Linked DNA regions of Styela clava. The protein of the gene in region 3 binds, or shares a complex with, the protein of the main gene of each other region. Links are inferred from orthologs where the notes say so. Each region holds a gene or a part of one and is shown on either strand. Other genes may lie near its edges.

Region 1 (7,369 bases), about 6.7 Mb from region 3:
TTGTAAACCATAGATGTGAACCTTGGCTGCTATAGCAGTATAGGCTAGTAATCCTGTAGTCGCAATCACTTCATCAAATAAAATTCTCATCAGGCAGTCAGGTTGGGTCTGGTATAGTTTAGTACCACATCCACTTCTAGTCGGCCTGGCTCAACAATTTTTTCATATGTCAATCCTAACCCCCACCTGACTACGTCACCGAAAAATTACGTCATTCCGACGTCACAGTGGCGTAATAAGGCTCACCGAAGTATGCGGATGGTCGTACAAAACGCGCAGACGATAAACCGAAATTGAGCAGGCTATTTCTTTCGTTTTCTCGTCGTAACGATCACGATAGGAGAGAGATCGCCGGCTTTAGCAAGTTCTAATCGGCGGCGCAGATGCCATTTCGGGCGATCGTAATTGTACTTTGGCAATCCCTATGACGTGATGGTTACGTCGTAGTGACGTAATTTTTGGATGGCGTAGTCAGATGGGGGTTAGGAATAACATATGCAAAAGTCGTTATGCTACGCCCACTGGAAGTACTTGTGGTACTAAACTATACTATACCCGTCAGGTTTTATGCTGAAAGGTAAGGACAGTAAGTAGGATGAAGATATTTCGGGTCTAGTATTTTGGGAGATAGTATACTTTTATAAGCATTATTACGCCACTGTGGCGACGAAATGACATAATTTTTCAGTGACGTAGTCAGGTGGGGGTTAGGATTGACATATGCAAAAATTGTTGAGCCAGGCCAACTTAAAGTGCATGTGGTACTAAACTATACCCGATATTTCAATAATTGCTGAATCTGTATACTGGTATAGTAGCAAAGTAGAGGTAATTTTGGGTCTTGCTTGCTTTAGATGATTTCACTATATTGTGAACATTTTCTCCGCCGTTTATTATTCAATTGAAGCTAAACTTGGAATATAATACATTGAAGCCTTTGTCGTCACGGTAAACTCTGTTTCATATCTATCAATGCCTTTTTTCATTGAAATAATTGACTTTATTCATCTGCTGATTTTCATTCCAAAATTTTCTAATGTTAGATGGCCACCTTTCGCTTTGCGTCACTTCGTCGTGAGAGAGAAATGTCTGCGTGATCAGTGATGCGTGATAACGTCGCTGCGTAGAACTTACGATGCCGTGACCCGTCTTGCGTGTCGCACACTGACGTTCATCTATGTTGTTGTCATTCCTGACGTTTCGCAAAACTAAACCATTTACTACTGACTATTCATTATTTCATTAAAGTGATAATTTGCTATTATTATCGTTTTGATACAAAGCAAAAATGAGACAATATGGAACAAATGAAAATGAAAAAACGGACGAATAAAATAAGTAGTAAAAGTAAAAAATGGAAGTGGAAATGGAAAACAATTTTTAATACAAAACAAAATTGAAATGAATGAAAATAATAAAAAAACGGATGATGAATTACAGTAAGTAGTAAAAGTAGAAAAATGAAAGTGGAAATGGAAAACAATATGGAACAGTAAAGCTTGTGGCAATTACATGCTTAAAATTTTCCACACGGGTTGGATCTGTCTTTGCAGCAATTAATGTGAAACCAATGTGTTTTTTTGCATGTTTCACAACCAACCCATTGGTCCTCAATTTCTGGTGTACCATTTGGATCATTCCAGTTACCACAGGCTGAGCAAACATCCTCTCGTGTGTCGTTTGTATTATTTGCAGGCTTCCGAATATATTTTCGCTGATCAATCTGGCACAGGTTTCTTCCTGGAGCAATTTTTTATCCTCGCCTACGTTTGCTTGGACTTCCGCTCGTTTCATGTATAGTTTTCAAATAGTCTATGAGGCAAGATGTCGTTTGATCAATTTCTTGACTCTCGATGGATGTAGATTCTTGGGCTGGCAGTTTGGCCAACACAACGGAGGGGGGTTAAATGTATGAATTCCACAAACCCGAAAGCATGATTTTAAATTTTTCACCGCTGTCTCTTCTGATTTCACGAAAAGTTGATTCAATAAAAGCGGGAAATGATCTTTTGGAAATCCACGAATCCGTGTTTCTGTCCTCCAATCAGCTATTCTTGTTCTCCATTTGGTTTTCAAGGGAGCGAAAAATGAACAATCGAGGGGCTGAAGAAGGTGCGTACTATTTGGAGGTAAGCACGTGAAATATACATTGTTTTTGTCGGCCAACTCGATGACATCTATTGTTAAGTGCGAGGATAAGTTGTCCCATACAAGCAATTTGTCACCGTCAAGTTCATTGCAGAATGGGATGAACACTTCTTTAAACTAGCGGATGAAAGTTCTTGTGTCGAACCATCCGCTCGGCGTTGCATCATAAACTGTCCCTTTGGGGCCATCTCTGGTCCAGTATTCATACACATTCATTGCTGAATATACCACCATAGGAGGTAAGAGCTTTCCAGCAGCAGATTCACAGAACATTATTGATATAGAACTCTTTGAAAAGTCGCGGATCATCTCCACCCTATTAATGCCGGTTGGTACAAAAGATCTTTTTCTGCCAGGATCATCACGAAGGTTGGTTTCATCGTAGTTAAATATATTAGTCGCGGGTAAACGCTTCGCTATTTCTTCAAGTTCGTTGAAATAATTTGCTACTTCTTAGGAGCCCACGGCGGCACGTGCTCTATCAATATTTGAAGCAACTCGTTTAGATAACCGTTGTCGCTTGCAAAAACTGGTTATCCACTTCCGACCAGGTTTGTTATTTGGGAATCTGGTAGAGCAAACTCCCTTTGTGTCCAGATATCTTTTGACGTTGTTGCTAATGTCCTCCGGCCCCATGAGAAAGCCTCAGCGCGCAACACTTTCGAGGCTCTTTGCAAATCGCTTTTCCCTCTTCATTTGTCAATCCAGTCGGACGACCGATACTTTTAGCGTGAACCTTCCTCATTTTATCGATTAACGTTGATCTTTTTACGTCATGACGTTTAGCAGCTTGGAAATATGACATTCCTGCTTTGACATCATCCATAGCTTTTTGCAAGTTCTCGTTTTTGCAGGAGTTGTACATTCGCTTTGGCATCGTGTTGATAATTCAGAAATACTGTATTCACAGGCAGATAGACAAAGCCAAATGACAAGAAACGGATAAAAACGGCAAAAAGAAACTTTGATACCTTTTTTTTTAATTTTGCGACCTTTTTTTTATTATTTGTATGTGGTCCAACCTCCTGCTGTGTACACCTGTGCAGAGTTCACCTCTGGAACATTCTACACTCAAGATATCTGGAACATTCTGCGCGTAAAATATCATCATCGGCCGATTGTAAACAGACATACTTTATAATTGTGATAGTATATTTATGCATAACTGGCTGTTCATCAGCCTTATTAAGTATCAACAACATCTGTATACGGTCGGAGAATGTATGCAAAAATATAAATGCACAAATTTGATGTGCATTAAACGGACTCACTATGAATAAATGAAGTTTTTGTAGGATTTGTTGACTAGGATCAGGTAGGAGCTTTTATTTTATATTTCACTACACACTACTACACGTCACATAGTCTGGCGTTCAAATGTTGCAGCGAGTTACGCACGAGCTACGCAATGTGACGTCGGCCATCAATGGAGTGAAATGGAATCTCGTTGTCTGCGTAAGCATCGTAACGTCGATATTTTGATGAAATTTTTAAATCAAAATATCCCTATCGTTCTATGATTCCAAGAATAGAAGAATATCAATTATAGCAGCCAGTGCAAACCCCTCTTACAAGACATTTTGTGTTTTGGCATGAATTGACAAACATCGGCATGAATTGACAAACCAACTTTGCGCAATAATTAAATTATGGAGCAGATCTATTTATTCTTGTTAAAATTAGTTGAAATATACAATTACAAATGACTTGGACCTTTTGAAAGATATGACTGTATGAAAATTAAATGCACTTATTTCATATAAACGAAATGATTTCACAATCACTTTATTTCTCATCAGTAATCTGTATGTCCAGATCTTTTTTCTGTAGATCTTTCCTTCTGTAACATGAATTATCCTCTTTGTTTTTTACAAAACGTGCTTACAATTACTCTAAGTTGAGCAAGTTATTTTTCTCATCGTAACGGGTCTGATATGAGAGAGATTGCTGACGTTAGTAAGTTCATTATCGTCGGCGGCTCGGCGCAGATGTTATTTCGAGCCATCGTAGAAATACTTTAGCAAGCTATATGGTATGATTGTGATGTCATAGTGACGTAATTTTTGCATGACATAATCAGATGGGAGTTAGTAATAACATATGTAAAAATGGTTATGACAAGCCCATTAGAAGTACTTGTGATGCTTGATAACTACACCAGACCCCTTTCCTTAAGCAATCAAAATTGTTATTTTGTTTTTACTTACTATAGGCAGTTTGCTTCAATATTTTTGATTGTGATAGAAATATTTTTGACTATGGCAAGCAAATTACCAGCATGTGTGGTGGACGTCGGTACAGGTTACACAAAGCTCGGCTTTGCTGGAAACACAGAGCCCCAATTTATCATGCCTTCATCTATCGCTGTGAAGGAAACCGCGAAAGTCGGCAATAAAGTTCATAAAGGGGTCGATGATCTTGATTTCTATATTGGGGATGAAGCCCAAGATAAACCCAATTATGCCACCAAGTGGCCAGTTCGTCATGGAATCGTAGAAGATTGGGATTTAATGGAGCGTTTCACGGAGCAAATTATCTTTAAGTATTTACGTGCAGAGCCTGAGGATCATTATTTCCTCATGACAGAACCTCCTCTGAACACCCCAGAAAATCGCGAATACTTGGCCGAAATCATGTTCGAATCCTTCAATGTTCCAGGCTTATACATCGCCGTACAAGCCGTGCTTGCTTTGGCAGCGTCTTGGACGTCGAGAGCTGTTGGGGAGCGTGTTCTTACTGGTACAGTCATTGACAGTGGAGATGGAGTGACCCATGTAATCCCTGTAGCTGAAGGCTACGTTATTGGCAGCTGCATCAAACATATCCCCATCGCAGGTCGAGACATCACTTACTTCATCCAGCAATTACTCCGGGAACGTGAAACTGGCATCCCTCCAGAGCAGTCGATGGAAACAGCAAAAGCAATCAAGGAGAGATATTCATACATCTGTCCTGATATTGCAAAAGAGTTTGCGAAATATGACTCTGACCCAGCCAAGTGGGTGAAGCAATATGAATCAAAAAATGCAGTTACGAAGCAGTCATTTAAAGTTGATGTCGGTCATGAGCGCTTCTTGGGACCAGAAATCTTTTTCCACCCTGAATTCTCAAACCCCGATTTTACAACTCCAATTTCTACTGTAGTGGATGATGTCATTCAGAATTGTCCTATTGATGTCAGAAGGCCGCTTTACAAAAATGTCGTGCTGTCTGGAGGATCAACCATGTTCAAAGATTTTGGCCGTCGTTTGCAACGAGATTTAAAGCGCACCGTCGACGCAAGGCTGAAAATGTCTGAAGAATTAAGCGGAGGTAGAATCAAACCAAAGCCAATGGAAGTACAAGTGGTCACACATAGCATGCAAAGATATGCTGTATGGTTTGGCGGATCTATGCTCGCATCAACGCCTGAATTTTATCAAGTGTGCCACACCAAAGCAGATTACGATGAGCACGGCCCAAGTATATGTCGCCATAATCCCGTATTTGGCACTATGTCATAACTCAAAGAACTTTTGAAGTATAAAGTTATTGTTTCAGTTGAAGCAAAGTTGAGAATGCTTGATTACATGATTGTAATACCTACTGTATTTGGACTTAATTCTATTCAAAAATAGGAAGAAAATTGATTCAAACCATGTACTTTGCTTATACTTATATCTTTTGTAATCTTATTCACAAATTGTTTCAAACTGAAATGATAAACTTGAACTTTTGAGTCGAGATATTCAAATAATCATGTTATATACTCAGAATGATTCCTAAGACTTGAATAATATATCGAACAGTTTGTAGGCCCGGTGCAGTTTTGTTAATCTTGGGCCAAATAATTTTCGGTCGTCTTACTTTGAGCCGAGCTATATATAATGGAATAATATCTAGAAATGTCTTCAGATTGAAATTCTCACTTATACAAGAAATTCCAGACATTTAGGCAATATAATCTATGTTAAATCGCAAACCTATTCGAAGTTATGCGCACATATTACTGATATGATATTCTAGACTTGATAACTAGAAATTGGATAATTCTCCTTTTTCAGTTGAACTATATACATTTAAACAATTTAATATCTGTTAAATCTCAAAGGATTTGAAGTTACGCTCACATATTATGATATACTAATTCTAAACTTGATAACCAGAAATTGGATATTAGTGCTTTTTCAGTTGAAATATTGTCTTTTAAATAAAGTTATTTGGATTTCCATTGTTGCTTCATGACATACTTGATTCGAATCTTTGTTCATGGATAGCTTATTAATTTAGAAAATGAATATCGTAATAATTTGTGTATTTTTTACATTATTTTATGTTCTATAGCTTTTTAGGTATTTCTCAATTTATCAAAGATCTGTTTTTGATTTGTATCAGTTATTTGGTGTACCAAATTAAATAATATAAAAGCTAAAACAGGATTTTCCACATTGGCGCCTCGAAAACTGGTCCCCCACCCAGTTTGGGAACTCTGGCTTACAATCTTGGATCAAATCTCTGTCCAAAATTGTATTAAATTGCTTTTGATTTGTATCCAATATAGTCAACTTTATCATTTGCTGTTCAAGCTACTTTTGTCATATTCAATCTAGGCAAGTTTAGTAAAATACGAAGCTGCTTTTAATGTTCAATTCTGATGAATATCCAGCATTTTGAGTGGCCAACTGCCAGTAATTTATTTCAATCTGTTATTTGTGTATTCTCATCATTATTTCACATACGATTAACATAGGGTTTACAGCACTTTGTGTACTTTTATCGGTGATTCTTATATTATCCAAGAATAATGTGTTCCGTTTTTAATTTTCTTGTAATTACCCTGTATTTTCTGCTGTAGATGTTTATTAATAACTGTTACAATTCCAATGAGATAACCATTTCACCCCTAGTGTGCCTTTCCCACCTTGAAGCAAGCATGCATCTTACAGATGACTGAAAAAAAATTGAACCCATTTTGAACAAATTCCAGAGAGAACATAACTTTTGTGCAAATAGTTCTAGATTACCGAAATTTTTGGGTACAATCATACGAAAACAGAAGTTTCAAATTTTTATCCATTTTCCTAGAAGTATTCGAGAAACTCGTAGGTTCTATTTTTCTTGGGTCACCCTGTCTATGGACTGCATTTGGCAGATATATATATATATAATGATAGCTCAATTCATTTTTGTTTTGCTTTCACATAAGACAACATAATTTGGCATTTGGAAATGTTATGATAAC
Region 2 (7,686 bases), on a different chromosome or scaffold from region 3:
TGCCGATATATCATATCGGCCCAACCGGCCGATATATCTGGCCGATATATATCAGCGTTAGTCGCTTTTCCACGTTCTAAAAAATGAGTATTTTTCCCCGGGAAATATCTGCGGCCGAGCGTTTTCCTTTTTTACGCTTCTCTCATTTTGCCTTTCAATGAACAGAGAGTTCTCTTCTATATTTCTCTCTTCGTGCGGCGCAAAATCCTCGCCTTCGAATATCTTGCGTCCCCACTAGGCTTGCACGTAATCGACAAAAATCAATTACGGAAAAATTGATTACGTAATGACCCCGTAATTGCGATATTTTTTTCACACGTTTAAACCTATCATAAAAACCATTCGAATCCACTTCTTTTCCGAATGGGACATCGAAGTTTGGTTTTCAAATTACCGACAGTACTACACGCCGGCGACAGATGTTAAAGACAAATACCAAGGAGTGAATTCAAATTAAATTTATTCTGATCTTTATCTTGTTTAATTGTGTTGGCTTTGATTTTCCTTTATCACGTTCGCAAATTAACCGTCCCAATTTTATGCGATCAATTTTATCATTACCGATAATGGTATACGGATATTTATGAAACGATAGTTGCCTTTTTTAAAATCGACTTTCGTATTGAATAAAAATTTCGGGTTTCTAAGTTATTAATCAACGACAAGCGTATTTTCTCATTTGATTATACCTGCGCTTGCCTCGCGACGAAGACTTGTTATTGCTCCGTTTTTATACATTATCCGACTTTGCTACCTAGTTAGCATTTTATAATAATTATTGATGCTGAATTATTGACGATATTCCGATTACCAAGCTTCATTTTATATCAAATCATTTCGCGGCCTAAATGTTATAACATCATTTGCGATAAATTTAAATCAAATAATAATTATTTAGCCGGCGATAAATTCTTACCCGTAACTTGTTGTTTATTAATGCTAATAAATTCTATTTTGTTTTTTAATGCGCTGTGATTTGTATTTATAAAAGTGATTGAGTCGGGAAAAGAAAGTAGCCTAGCCTCCTCTCCTTTTAAGCGCTTATAGCGGCGGTAAAATTCGTTTCATGTCTGTTTCACGGAGAGAAAGAAAAATACGCCTTCCGGAATTACAATCAACTATCACACATTCTTATTTATCATTATCAGTGCCGAATAAAAAAGATACCAAATCGTGAAGACAAAAAAGTCTGTCGGTGCTAATTGCGTTACGGTGACAACGCTTATAATAATATCGTTTTGACCGTGAAACCAAACGCTCAAACGGGGTGGCAACGCGTCATGCCGGCTCAAAACGGCTGCGAATACCGGAACTCTAACTTCTTCTACTTGTTAAACTTTGATTTTTTACAATCGACGGAATTGGCTGCTTGGAAGGAGCACGTTTCAAACGCGAAAGCGCTCGACCAATAATTACGACTTTACGTAATTGTAACTTCCCTTCCGTAACTCCAAACAATTCCGTAAATTACGTGCAAGCCTACTCCCACCTACTACTGTATGGATCAAAATGGACTTCTATAAGCTTTTTACTGACTGCCTTTTTTCTCTTGTGCATTAATGTGTGTTCTTATTATTTGCTGCGAAACTTTTATTAATGATGCAAGCACTGTGTAGGACTGCTTTATTTTTCAACATAAACTTTTGATTGACTGAAACTGAATGTTTCTTTCTATTTGTATTTACTGCGGGTTCGAGTTCTAGATATCGGTATGTCAATATCGGTTATCGGTCACTAGTTGGCCGATATATCGTTATCGGTATCGGTGCCAAAAAGTGATATCGGTCGAGCTCTAACAAACACACCATGTGTCTCATAAACTAGGGGCATCTTGCACGACGGCGGATGCGTCATATAGCGCAATGCTTGTCCTGATAATAATCTAAATTAATCGTGGCCATCATGTGACCAAAATTGTTGATTTTCGCTTAAAATTCTATAATGCCACGATAGAAAATTTTTGGGTCTCGTGTAGTTTCGTACTTCTACTTACATACTTCTAGTAGGCGTAGCATAACATTTTTTGACATGTCAACCCTAACCCCCACCTGACTATGCCCTCCAAAAATTATGTTATTACGACATCACAATCACATCATAGAGCTTGCCAAATACACGTACAATAGCACGAAATTGCATCGGCGCTGACGATAAATGAATGACTAACGTCAGCGATCTCTTTCTTATATAGGGATTGTTGCGACAAAAAAACAAGAGAAATAGCTGTTTGATTTCAGGTGCTTGTCTGCGCGTCTTGGATGACAGTTTGAATAGTTTCAAGCTCTATTATGTCACTGTGATGTCGTAATGACGTAATTTTTGGACGGCGTAGTCACGTGGAGGTTAGGATCGACACATGGAAAATTTGTTAGGCTACGCCCACTTGAAGTATGTTAGGTACGAAACTACATGAAAACCAAATATTTTCTTTTGGTGAATCGAATCATTTTTTCCCCCTGAGCAATTCAATTATGACGTCTTTAGATTGCGCTTCTTTGTAGTTTTTTGCGCAACTTCATTTTACTGTATTTTTGCCGATATTGAGGGACAACAATATCCAGACGTCTCCTAAAGGAGGGGTGTTTCTTCATCGACAAAATGGGATTCTCCAAAATGAGACAATGTTATCGATTTATAGAATGTGCCGTACTGTAATACTATAGAGGTAGGCTATAACATGTGTTTTATTACAGTAGCCTACAGAAGGGGAATGTTAAAAAATTGGTAATAAGTAATAGGCTATATACGGTAATGAATGGATGTTTGAATGAGTCAGGCAGTGGGTGATCCGAGGGTCATCACAGCATCAGACAGTCAAAACTGAGGCCTGCAGTAAAGTGATCAAGCAAACAAACATACTTGGCATAGGCTAGTCAGCTAGTATTGCTATAAGTCACGGAATGTTAACTATTAATAATGAAACTCACCCCAGTTCCGTTGTCGCAAACAACGACCTTTCGGCCTGCGGAATCCATGTTCCTTCAATAAATCCGATAATTTCCTCGCAAACTTCCTCACTCAGCAAAGAAACACAAACGTTAACACCCTACAGCTAGATGTAAATCCACTAGATGTCACAAGAACTTCCGCCGGTAAAATCAACTCAACCGTAACTACGCCGCATGATGACGTTGTAGCAATCAATTGTAGTCACTGAACTGGGAATGTAGTAGTATATATTTACGATTATACATATTTATATATCTTTGTGGTTGTGTTTATCATAAACTTAAAGCCGAGCCCGTATATACCGTTAATACTTAACCGTTATATACTTGAAACAAATAGAAGCCCATATGCGAGAAAAAGGCCGGACTCTAAACGCGTATTAAAGTTCAGTGATATATTTGTCCATAAAATATACATCTGAAATATGGACTATATATTAGAAGTTTTCCAATTGCGACAGGCATAGCAGCTATTGTTATTATGGCAGTTTATCACATATGGCGCAATTTGAGTTTGATAAATTCTTCCGTGATAGTAAATTAAAATTCATGTAAATAGAATGAAAATATATAATAGATGTTTCCCCGACCTAGACCCAGAAAAATGCTCCTTATACTTTACCGTACTTTACTATTGCTAAATTTTGCGAGTGTTTTGGAGATTAGCAACTGACAAACTGATTTACATGCTCAAAATCATTATTTTTATTGAAATATGAAACCACGTGCCGATTACTGGTACTGATTTTAGCTCATTTTAGCCTAGTTTATCGCAGCTTTTCCATAACTAATTTTTGATCATTGATTTTAAACTAAAGCTCATCGGAAGACATGAAGACAATTAAAATACTTCATTCACTAGTAATTTTTTGGAAACAAAACTGAAAACGTGTCCAATAACACGCAAAACCGCGAGAAGGCACGCCTGAAAATCTGTGTCTGTCTGAGCTAGGGCTGGGAATGGTTAACCGATTTTAGATAGTTAACGGTTACGATTTATTTTAATCGGTAACTGACATCTCAGGTACAAATCATCTTCATAAAGTACAATTTCTTTAAAAATGATTACGTTGTCGTAAATTTCTCTCCTGTGGCGTTTGATTCAAGAGAATATCACTAACTCTGTATTGGTAAAGACCCAATAAATGTGAAAAGTAATTGAAGTACCAAGATCGCTGATTATGAAAATTTGACAATGATAAATTCAGAATAAGTTTTCAGTCAAAATATATTGTTCACGATTTGATTGCAAAATCGTATATTCAATGTCATCCAACAAGTGCGTATTTGATGCTGTTTTTCTTTATGATATCTCAAAGTAGATTTTGTACGTCGAACACTGATGACAATGAATGAATCTTGACAATTTATCAACCAAAATACCTTTTCAGATTTGAAAAAATTCATGGCTTTTAAAAATGGCGCTCTTTGGCTTAACATATTCGTGCTAACATTCTTTTTTCTAAAATGGGTGTCATGAAATCCCCTCCCGATCGTTTCTAACAGACAAAATTTTGAAAAATGGACTTCGAATTGCTAGTACTTACATTATGCAGCGGTTCCAGCAAATCCCCTGCATGTAATAAAATTAATATCGCGCAATTTGTCACGTTGAATATCAACACAAACCAAGAAACTTTCCAATGTCTTTCCTTGCAAGGTCGATTTTGAGACTTGAATCCTAGCGATGTTACAATTTAATTATAGTCATGAAGTCAGAAATTCGATTTTTTACCATGATACTATCCCCTATTCCATTTTCCAATTCAGTTTTAAGATGGATGTCAGGATGTGCTTCGAAAAAGCTGGGACAAAGATTCCAAAAGAAATTGTAAAGGCAGTAAACGTCTAAATTATCCTCTAAGTATTCTCAAATGGGACGCGCACCAAGATGGCGCACAACCTAAACATAGTATGTGTGTACCGGTCAGAATTCAGGTTGTGCGACATACTTCTGAGCACCATTGAATGGGTTTAATTACACCCAGTTAGGAAACCACTGCAATAAAGTATATTTTCATCTTTATCATGTTGATTCAAGACACGGTTGCAATCATCGATTACTTTGGATTTGGGCGCTGTTCATCGTCATCATGAAAGGACCAACGATAAAAAAAAAAAGATAATTACTAGCCACGAATAAATTTGTATGGGTGGTGGCCCCAAATGTACTCAGCTTGATGTCTTGATTATTTTCTTCATGTTTTCAATATAAATTTGAAGTGGATTTTTACTAACGAAATATGGGGGTTCACAGCTGTTAAATTACCCTCACTACTAAGCTTTTTGTGTCGTTCCATTTTTTCGGGAGTGATATCGCAGATCATGTATCTGTGATAGAAACTCTCTAACCTAGTGTTCCAAGCTATTCCACGTATAATATATATATCTTGCCTTTAACTGTGTAAGCATCAAAGATAACACATTCCGGGCTGAAATCCCATGCCTCCACCTCATCCAGGGTGCAATTAATTGGATAGGCAATATCGATTCTAAATAAAAATAACTCCTTATATTTATCGGGTGACCGTACACTTGAACCCATACATTTACACCCGAATATCCGCGGTTTCAAATGAGGGTGCTAAAATCCATGAGTTAGGATGAGTTCAAATATCCGTAAAATAAAAAAAATTCATAGGTGCAATAGTATGCAGGTGCAATTGTCGTGGGTTCAAATTACGGGTTCAAATGTAATGGAACCATTTATCGTGATATATCAGAATCTGGTTCAATGCAAAAATCAGTACAAGCTGCTTATATTCACTCGAGGTATCCGTCCATGGGTGCAATCTCCTCGGTACATACGCCCATGGAGGGAATATAATGCCCTATAACAAGACAATGAATCAATTCGTTGACCCCCTAATAAAAATTTGGACTGGCTGCGCTCTAGATATAAATACAATCTATTCGATGAGTTTTGTTCTATAAGTCACAAATTTTATAAATAAATGTCGCCAACTACCGGCCATAATATACTGCGATGGCAAATTTATTGAACAAACCCCTGTTTGTAGGCGCAACCCAGCTCAATGATGACTTGTAACTCCAAAAACGAAACAGATTTCATGGAAATTATCCAGCTAAATTGGACTCGCTGTGTACCAAAACTGCACAAGATAGTTATAGTATAAGTATAAGTTTATTTCGGCTCCATAATCAGCAATAGACGATAAAAAAATAGATAAAAACAGAAGTAAAAGTAACTGATTATAGAATCGGGAAAGCGAGCAAAACCTAGAGTAAGGTTTGAAACGTACAGATTTTAAATGAAAAGGTATTGATAAAAGAAGTAGTACGTGTTCGCTCACAAGTTTTTAAGTTCGATAATCGGAAACCCGAGCGGCTTTTAAAAGTTGAATTTTCCGAAGACTTCTGAGAAAACATATTGCAGCCATGACTTGAAAATATGCAACAAAATCACGTTCGACAAAATGTAAAATGTACTTCTCTCTGAAAAAGCCTACTGTTAGAGTTACTTAATAATTTCAAAATAAACTCCATTCCACTCCACAATAAAATGTATATATATATACAACTGATACAATCAATATCGAAATGTTACGTTTTACTTTTACGCTAAAAAAAAGAGTGGATAATGATGGGGATGGGAGTTCCACAAAGCCCTTGTCAATTCATCTACCATCATGTTTTCACGTTCCAACAAATGATCGTTTGCGTAAATTCGAATTGTTTATTTTTTTTTATATAAATTTTCTTGTGTTTTTCACTGCTTGTCATATGTTATCCCAAGCTTTTTTAAACATATCACTAGGGCTGGGCATTTCGAATCGAATATTCGAATCGAATCGAATATTAAATTATTCAAATCGGTTCAAAGCTAAATTTCGAATCGCTACCATCTTGTTTTTTTCTTTCCGCCAATGGTCTAGGTCAGGGGGGTCCAAACCCAGGCCCGCGGTTCACATGTGGCCCGCCACTTCATTATCTGTGGCCCACATCGCATTAGGAGACGAATCAAAAAATTGCATTTTGTGTTGTTTCGTCATAAAATTAACTAAAAAAATCTTTTGACATATTGTTGCATCATTAATGTCACTAAATTGACTAGTGTTATGGCTTGCTGGGGCAACTAGCGAAGTTAAACGAGCAAAGTTTTTGGCACTATTGTGGCCCGCGAACAATGCAAAAGTAATTTTGTGGCCCGGGGAGCTGCCAATCCTGGACCACCCTGGTCTAGGTGAATTCCTCATTTTTTGTTCATTGAAGTCATAATTATTTTTTCAACGCAATTCTAACATATGACTATTCTCTGCAGTGAGTTATTGATAAAACGTGTTTGTTATTGGGTGTGAACGCTCAGTAATCTATCTGCGTGATGTATTCTATGTCTTCAGTGATTCATTTGTTGAGAGGACCAATTACTATAAAAAAAAAATGTCGCTTAAAATCATATATTTCCAAGTATTCATGATTCGATTCGATTTGAAAAAATTATTCGATTGATTCTGAAATCACAAGATATTCAAAAATGCCCAGCCCTACATATCACTTAAACTTAAATAGCTTATATTATCGTGAATCCAAAGAACAAAATGAGCCAAGTCCACTGCTGCGTTCCAAAATACACGGGGGTGATTTCAAAAGTGAGTTCAACAATCAAACTTTAAATGCCGATTGAATACAACACCAGAAGCAATTACCTTTACAAAGGTCTTGGAAATATACGAATGGGTTAATATAATATGTAACTCGACCAGTGATTCTAGCCTTT
Region 3 (7,857 bases):
TTTATGTGCTTTTTCCTGGTTTTGAAACCAGAAATCTAAATGTATTTCACTGCCCACAGACACTATCCAACTATAGATTTCTGAATGCTAAGAGTCCTCAGTCAAGATTTCGGAATGAAATAAAAAAGGTAGCAAACAGCAAAGTTATTGTAGGTAAAATTTTATACGGTAGTCCCGAGCCGGAAATCGAATTCTGAGTCACTTTTTGAACTTTGACTTCACAGTCCGATTATCCCAGAAGCATAATGTTTACAACTCCAACATGTGGAAAACAAAATCAACTTAAAAATTTCTTGGTTATGTAATCATTAGGATTTTTTAAGCAGCAAAATAATTCCAGAAAAAAAGTGCAAATACAAACCTTTCAAACAATGAAAATAGTGCATTTCGTTGACATTAAAAACTTCTTCCTCTGTTCATGCAAAACAAAAATTAGGGATAAAATCACAATTAAAAAAAAAAAGCCTGCAATCAGCATTTATGATTAAATTTGCTACTAAAAACAATTCAACAATAAAAACAAAGAAGCAAATAAAAATCTCAAAATAATATAAAAAAATTTTTCATTAATCACAAAACTGCATAAATTTTGTTACTAAAAAAAAAAATTAAAATGCGATTATGGTATATTAATACTGATTAAATCTTGATGTAAGCAAAATCAACAAAATAAAATAAACCGGTAATAGAATCACCCCATTTCTAGATACACTCTTAACTTACGACATTGTTTTCTTCTCTTTTACTGCTTGGTCAGGCCTGGCACGGTTGAGAACTTTAAGGAAATCCGAAGTCTTTGCTCGCATTCTTGTGTGAATGTAAGCCTTGCTGCACTTGATGTGATAATGCAAGTAGTTTCGGAATGTGTGGATGAGATCAATTGTATTGTCACGATTAGCAGGGTTGGTGTGTCGAGTATTCAGAACTAGAAATACAAATAAAACATACATAGCAGCTACACAATATTTGATTTCAGCAAATGTAGAAAAAGAATTGCGATTGTAGACTTATGTATCCATAATGACAGTTGACACTCAGACAGCCTCTTTAAACTTTAAAAATAAGGATGAAAAGAATGCTTAGCAGTGTCCTAGTCCTAGAAAAATTTGGGCATTGATATAGAAGCTGATCAGCCATGTTGAGGGGTAAATGGCTTTATGTTATAATTGTAATGATCAAATAAATTTCCTGTGTAGTGGGTTACATAATACAATATCTGATTTAGTTTTAATTATTGGAACTTAACTACAATTGGAATTAGTAGATTTTAGCAGAAGGAAACAAAATCTTACCAAAAGTAATGTATCCAATGTTATCACCAACTGCAGCATCCTGTCCCTTCAATTCCAGTGGAGGTTCTTTATGAGTGAAAAGAACCTGGGGTGCACTGGCACTTGCTCGGCGGCCTTCCTTGAATTCCTATTACAATATTTCATACAGCCTGCATATCATGTTTAAGTAATACAAATCCCTGACTGATTCCTAGTACAATTCAGGAACATGTATCCAAATATACTTGGTCAAACATCGGCACTCCCATAGTGTGTGTACCAGGTTAGGGTCAGGCCATAGTTTTATTCTGATTTTCCTTATTTTAGTTCTATTACGATTTCAGGGACTGTCTGTTTAACGAATATACCCCCTGCCCATAGTTTTCAGTCCCTTTATACAACTTGATGTAGGCGAATAAAATTAGTTACCTACATATTGGTACACATACTTCTGGAGCGCTCAAATATCTTCCTGCTTCAATATTTACTTAAAAAGTGTGGATAAACTCGTAAATAGCTAATATGCTATGTGGTGTTTTTGTCACAATTTCTCTCTGTGAAGACGGCTCCTAACAAGCAGCAAATGATGGGGCTTTTATTATTTTCTAATGGCCAAAGATATAATTCTACATAATATGGCCTACCTATACTTAGGTTCATATGTTAATTTAATTACCTGCATAAATACTTTTCCAAAGATGATATCAGAATCATCTTTAAAAACAGTGCTGAATATCACTGTAACACGATCTTTCTTAGCTTCCACATACCTGAATAAAATACAAGCAAACATAAATAAATCGTATTTATACTGTATTATGAGTCTTCTAACATAAATACTATATCCCATAATATCTAGTTTGGCGTATTTTCAAAAATTAGACTTAAAGTATAATTCGAGTATTATTTCTCAAAACGTACATCGTCTCATCATCTCTGTAGTTGACGACAGCTCTTTTCACTTGTTTCCCTTGTACCTGTGCTTCAAAATATTCTTCAAACACAGATGCAAAACAATTCCTTTTCAAACTTGCAGCCTAGAAAAACAAGTACTGGGAATGTCAATTGTTCTGGTACCAATGTAAATTCTACATCTGAAAATTGAAAAAAAAATTTGAATTGAAATAACGTACATCTGCAACAATTTTGGCGTGATCCTTAGGAATGTTCGAAAGATCATAGAGCAGTGAGACACTGTGTCCAGACTCAGGTGAAGTCAGATAACATCCGTAGACTCTGTCTAGAAGCTGAAATAGAATAATTTTATTTACTGTATTTAATAACTTAGTAATCAATATTATATAAACAACCAAATGTGAAACGAACATAATTCAATTCATAAAATATAACAAGTCTTGTTCACAAAGGTCCCAAACTATTCACCACACTCTCAAAAAGGTTTATTTCTTTCACTGCAAAGTAATGTACCTCTTTTGCTCCATGGTTTTCCAAATCCTTGTAAAATTTCAAAGAAATGCTGACCATGACTTTTGATTTATCGCCATTTGGATTCGAGATATGATATAACACTCCATCAAAATCGGCAATTGTTGAATCAATTGATTCTGGTTTAGACCTTTAAAAATAATAATAAAAATGTAACACTGAAACTTCAAAAATAACAAATAATTTAACTTAAAAAATAAGCTTACCCTGCTACTGCACATTCAAATTTATATGTCAAAGTATCCGATATTATTCGATTCTGTGTTTCAAGCAAAATCATCTTGGAGAAATGTTGAGCAAATTCTACTAAATTACTAAACCAAATGACAAAGTTATTGTTAATACATAACAAAAACCATCAACACACAATACTGATATCCTAATGGCATAGGAGCGTGGTAGCTGAGGAAGCATAGCTTAACAAAGTTTCATTCTAAATTTTATTAACAAGCAAATTTTATACATAATGCAATGTGAAATGTTTTCTCGATTTTGAATTCTGAAGTTACTATGATTCCTTAGTTGGTTAAATTTTCATTGGTATGTCATGAAGAACTTTATGCCATTGTACCAAAAAAACATTTTTATTTTCACATTTCAATGAATTAGGTTTGTTCGTTACAATTTTTGGGTCTCGTGTAGTTTCGTACCTAACGTACTTCTAGTAGGCGTAGCATAACAATTTTTTGACATGCCAATCCTAACCCTCACCTGACTACGCCATCCAAAAATTACGTCACTACGACGTCAAAATCACGTCATAGAGCTTGCCAAATACTTGTACGATCGCCCGAAATAGCATCGGCGCCGACGATAAAGAACTGACTGACGTCAACGACCTCTCTCCTATCGGGATCGTTGCGACGAGAAAACGAGAGAAATGGCTGTTCGATTTCGGGTTCTCGTCTGCGCGTCTTGGATGACAGTTCACATAGTTTGAAGGGCTCTATTACGTCACTGTGACGTCGTAGTGACGTAATTTTTGGATGGTGTGGTCAGGTGGGGGTTAGGATTGATATGTAGAAAAATTGTCATGTTACACCCACTAGAAGTATGTTAGGTAAGAAACTACATGAGACCCCAATTTTTCAGCTCATCACTTTGTTACTGCTACAGCCCTATTCTTCTGTTCTTGGTTTAGCCCTAGGATAAGATACAATTCAAGTTTCAGTTGGATTATAGAAAAAAATGTAAGTCTCATCTATTACAGTATTACGACGTAGATATCAGAAGTAATACCGAAATAAGTGCAATATTTTCAGAAAAACTGCTACCGTTATCTGTATACAGGTATATCAGTATATAGATATATCAAACTCAGAAAATGTTCAATGCCAAACATTATTTTCCTATGTTACACAACTCCACCGAAATATATGTACTAGAAACACAATACACTTTTAAATCGGGACTTCTATTTTTGTTTGGTACCGCTATCAGGGTATTAAAAATCAAAGTGAAAAATTTGTGATACCGGTACTCCAGAATATTACTGTATAAAGCAATGTAAACTTTGGCGGATCTGTCACAAAACTATTTTTTATAAACTGATAATTCAGTGCGGTAAATATCGGCAATTTTAAGGCTACACTTTCAATTATACGCAAACAATCACTCGCGATGTCCAACCAGCCGAATAGACACTGCAACAACTAAGCAAGGAGACGGAAGGTGAAGCCTCTCCCAAGGAACCACTCAAGTGGAACCACGTTATCAAATCCAAAACATAATTCGACTTTATAGAGGATAATACTTTGGAATTGTTCTTAGATATTGGGTTGGAACCGGTCGTTGGTTGGAACACTGTAACTATAAATACCAAAATGATAGCACACTGGCAAAATAATTGTAACGGATGTCATACGAAGCGTGTACACGCTGCTCTCATATAAGAGTAGCGCCAGGACTAAATGCTTAGAAAATCTATTTATTTCTCACAACAACAACAACAACAACAACAACAAGGGCATAAAGTAGAAAGTGATATATGGTAAGACTTCTGTTGTACTATTTGTACTTTTGGTACCCTAACCAAAGATGTTTCTATCGAGTGCCATCCTTCTAATAATCCTCCCACTTTGAACTGAACTTAGTTTACACTAAATTTTAGGTTCTAGGCCTAACAATCCTAATCGTTTAGTTGGACTTTGCAAAGCTATTATATGTTTCTCAACTTAGGCGTCAAATCGCTCATTGGGTTACTTTATTTCTGATTATGACATAGACCTTTTCACTGCCCAATGAGAGACGATTCTCTAGGAGTGCGGTGAATATAATTACCGAAAGGGTTCATCGTAGTTTGCGTTGACGTATGCGTCAAATTTTGACGTTATCTGCCTCATGGAGATATTAAGGAAAGTTATGCGATTTTAATTGGGGACATCACCTAAAAAAATAAAGTGGAGGTATTACCGCTCACGCAGAATCGCCGGAATTGTCTGGTACGCTCAGAATTGATATAAATTAACATTGAATATGGTCATTCTAATGTCCAGCTACGGTGACCAATATTACTTTTTATACACCAGAATTAACAAAATTTTCCACATAATACCGAAGTGAAACATTCATTGGTCTAAGTCGGCCCATTTGTTTCTTATATTTATCAGTGACGAAACTTGTAAACTGTTACGTAAAAACGAGCTTTGTCCAATATGCGCCAGACATAACGTCTTTCGCACACGCACAGTATTCGCCTCTTCGGAACACAAAATAGGCGCCGCTTGAATATTGGTCTAAAACAAATTTTTTACGTCTTTTGTTACGTTTCAAGATCAGGCGCGATCGACCACTCAGGATGAAACGACCGACGGTCGATCGCGATCGACGTGTTGGCCACCCCTGCTTAGAGGATCGGAATTGAACTTCATACTTATTGGACATAGAATCCTAGATGCAGAGTGAGTTTATGCTAATGGATTCAAACTATTACTACTGATCCCGTGTATGAGAATATATCGTTTTATTCAGCTGCATATTAGCAATTGTTTATCACAAAAGCCCCCAGTAGTAAATGAATGCAAAATGAATAGAAGTTATTTCGTTCATGCCTTCGCAAGTCTTGCGTCTCCCCCGGAACTTGATTTTGTGTATATATTATGAATGTCATGTCCCGATAATACGTTTTTTTGGAAAAACGGAGGCTCAGTTTCATGTATATATATGAATTATAGATACAGATATTCATTTTCACAATGTAAGAATCAATATAAAGCAATAATCCACATGAAAAATAGAAACGGTGAACATTGACTTACAGCAGTTGATGAGGGGTCACGAAAGACTCATCCATCTTATTGGGGAAAAGTTTCAGGGAATTGTTCATCTTCCTAGGGATTACGTAGCGCGAATGAAACATCGTAACCAACAGACAGCGAAGTATTTCGGTACTGGTTTAGCTTCAAAACAGTTGAAATTGGGTGCTATATTTGAAAAAGAGGGCGTATTTAATTCAAAAGTTTACAATATAAAACAACAAACCACACAATGAATAATGATGAAATAATATGAATTATAATATTGAATAGAAACAAACACGTGCGATATAAAGGCAAAGAAATCGCGGAGAATGTTACCCCAGCGGCGGAGGATTTACATATTTATTCAAGGGGAAAAGAAAGCCGATAAGACGGATTAATCATATGGTGATCGGAGTAGTAAGCCAGTTATTTTTTCCGGTGCATGGACTTGAGAGATACCCAAACAGTGGCGTGTCTATGATGACTGAGCCATGTTGGGCACAATGATTAATTTGGCTTGTGGGGACAACATCGTGATCACAAAAGATTTGCTGATAACGCACTTTTTAATGAGCTCATTGTTATATTATTGTAATTAATTTGCATTCTAGATCGCTGTAAACTAAACTAACAGTCATCTGTCAAATAAACCAGTGTATAGTTTTATTCGATCCAAAATGCAAGCACATTTAATTTTCATTTTTTTAATGAGGAAAATGCATCCTCTTATTGCTACAATATTTTTTAAATTCAGGAATCATATATATTGTTTGTTGAGACGTCTGTCGAGGACAATATATATTTATTCTTGTTCACCTTCAATCGCACGTGCACGTTCTTACATCAATATACTTTATTAATACATATACAGTATATAGAAAACATTTCCTATCAAATTTCCTTATATATATACATGAGAATATTTCATCAGAAAATGATCTACAGAAGTAAGCGGAAGTCTTCTCGTGACACATTTTCGCATAGCAGGTCTTAGGTTCAATATTAGTGCCCACCAACCTATAAGGCGCGCTAACCAAATATATTTCGGGTCTTAAAAAATTAAAAACCCCTTTTTGTATAAATGACAGTGGTTGTTTTATTTCAAATTAGATCCACACTGTGACCGAATAAAATAAATACAATAGAGACATTCCTCGTGAATTGGCTGGTTAGCAAACTCTCAGACTTTGGACTAATACAACGGCCCTAACTTACAGATAATATGTATACGGGACGGAAAGCCCTATTAAATTTTTTTTTTTTCGATTTGCTTTCCATCGTATCAAATAAAATATCAAGAGCAATAAACAATTCTTTTTATCAGTAATGGCAAAGCGCAACATAGTGAACTACTTATCCTATCCTAATATACCAAGTGAAAACAGAACAAAATTAGATATTTGAGTTTAACATTCAATCAGTCGGAATCATACAGAGTAGCCTATATTAGACAGTTAACGGGTTAATTCCGATCAGACAATTGAAAATAAAATTTGGCATTCACAATAACTTGTATCGATGCTAATTGGGAACCCACTCGGTCCTAGTATTCTGGCGTATCGTTAGAGGTGATGACAAAGTATTCAATGACAAAGTACACCGACTTACATCTCACACCCCGAGGGTAGCACAAGCTACCCGAAACCATTTAACTTAAAATGGTGAGTATCCTTCGAAAAACTTAGGTCACGTCTCATCAGATAACACGTTTATTTTTTGATATTCAGACGACACATCTGTAATTCGATCCGCCCTCGCAAACTTGATGCTCGAGTAACTGACGAAAATAGTGACGTCATACTATCTAAGTTTATAAGTCAACGCAGATATATATACCCATTTAGTGTCTATTTGGGCTTGCTTCTTGTAGATATCGAACTGTGGTGCGTTGAAATTTAGCG

Evidence for each region.
Region 1: actin-related protein 2/3 complex subunit 2-like (region 3) and actin-related protein 3 share a complex: the UniProt entries of both Drosophila melanogaster proteins name them as parts of the arp2/3 complex. The link is inferred for Styela clava from reciprocal best matches to the Drosophila melanogaster genes Arpc2 and Arp3.
Region 2: actin-related protein 2/3 complex subunit 2-like (region 3) and actin-related protein 2 share a complex: the UniProt entries of both Drosophila melanogaster proteins name them as parts of the arp2/3 complex. The link is inferred for Styela clava from reciprocal best matches to the Drosophila melanogaster genes Arpc2 and Arp2.

Annotation. Positions count from the first base shown.
Region 1 is NC_135259.1:19,511,103-19,518,471, forward strand, and holds the start of actin-related protein 3, read left to right. Parts: upstream 1-4,340; 5' UTR 4,341-4,406; coding exon 4,407-5,651; 3' UTR 5,652-7,369. UniProt on the Drosophila melanogaster protein: Functions as ATP-binding component of the Arp2/3 complex which is involved in regulation of actin polymerization and together with an activating nucleation-promoting factor (NPF) mediates the formation of branched actin networks.
Region 2 is NC_135251.1:20,269,832-20,277,517, forward strand, and holds the start of actin-related protein 2, read right to left. Parts: upstream 3,088-7,686; 5' UTR 2,976-3,087; coding exon 2,928-2,975; intron 1-2,927. UniProt on the Drosophila melanogaster protein: Functions as ATP-binding component of the Arp2/3 complex which is involved in regulation of actin polymerization and together with an activating nucleation-promoting factor (NPF) mediates the formation of branched actin networks.
Region 3 is NC_135259.1:12,805,710-12,813,566, reverse strand, and holds the start of actin-related protein 2/3 complex subunit 2-like, read right to left. Parts: upstream 3,034-7,857; 5' UTR 2,998-3,033; coding exon 2,924-2,997; intron 2,848-2,923; coding exon 2,700-2,847; intron 2,519-2,699; coding exon 2,405-2,518; intron 2,309-2,404; coding exon 2,193-2,308; intron 2,042-2,192; coding exon 1,948-2,041; intron 1,420-1,947; coding exon 1,293-1,419; intron 926-1,292; coding exon 724-925; intron 413-723; coding exon of another isoform or gene 397-412; exon of another isoform or gene 362-396; intron 1-361. UniProt on the Drosophila melanogaster protein: Functions as actin-binding component of the Arp2/3 complex which is involved in regulation of actin polymerization and together with an activating nucleation-promoting factor (NPF) mediates the formation of branched actin networks.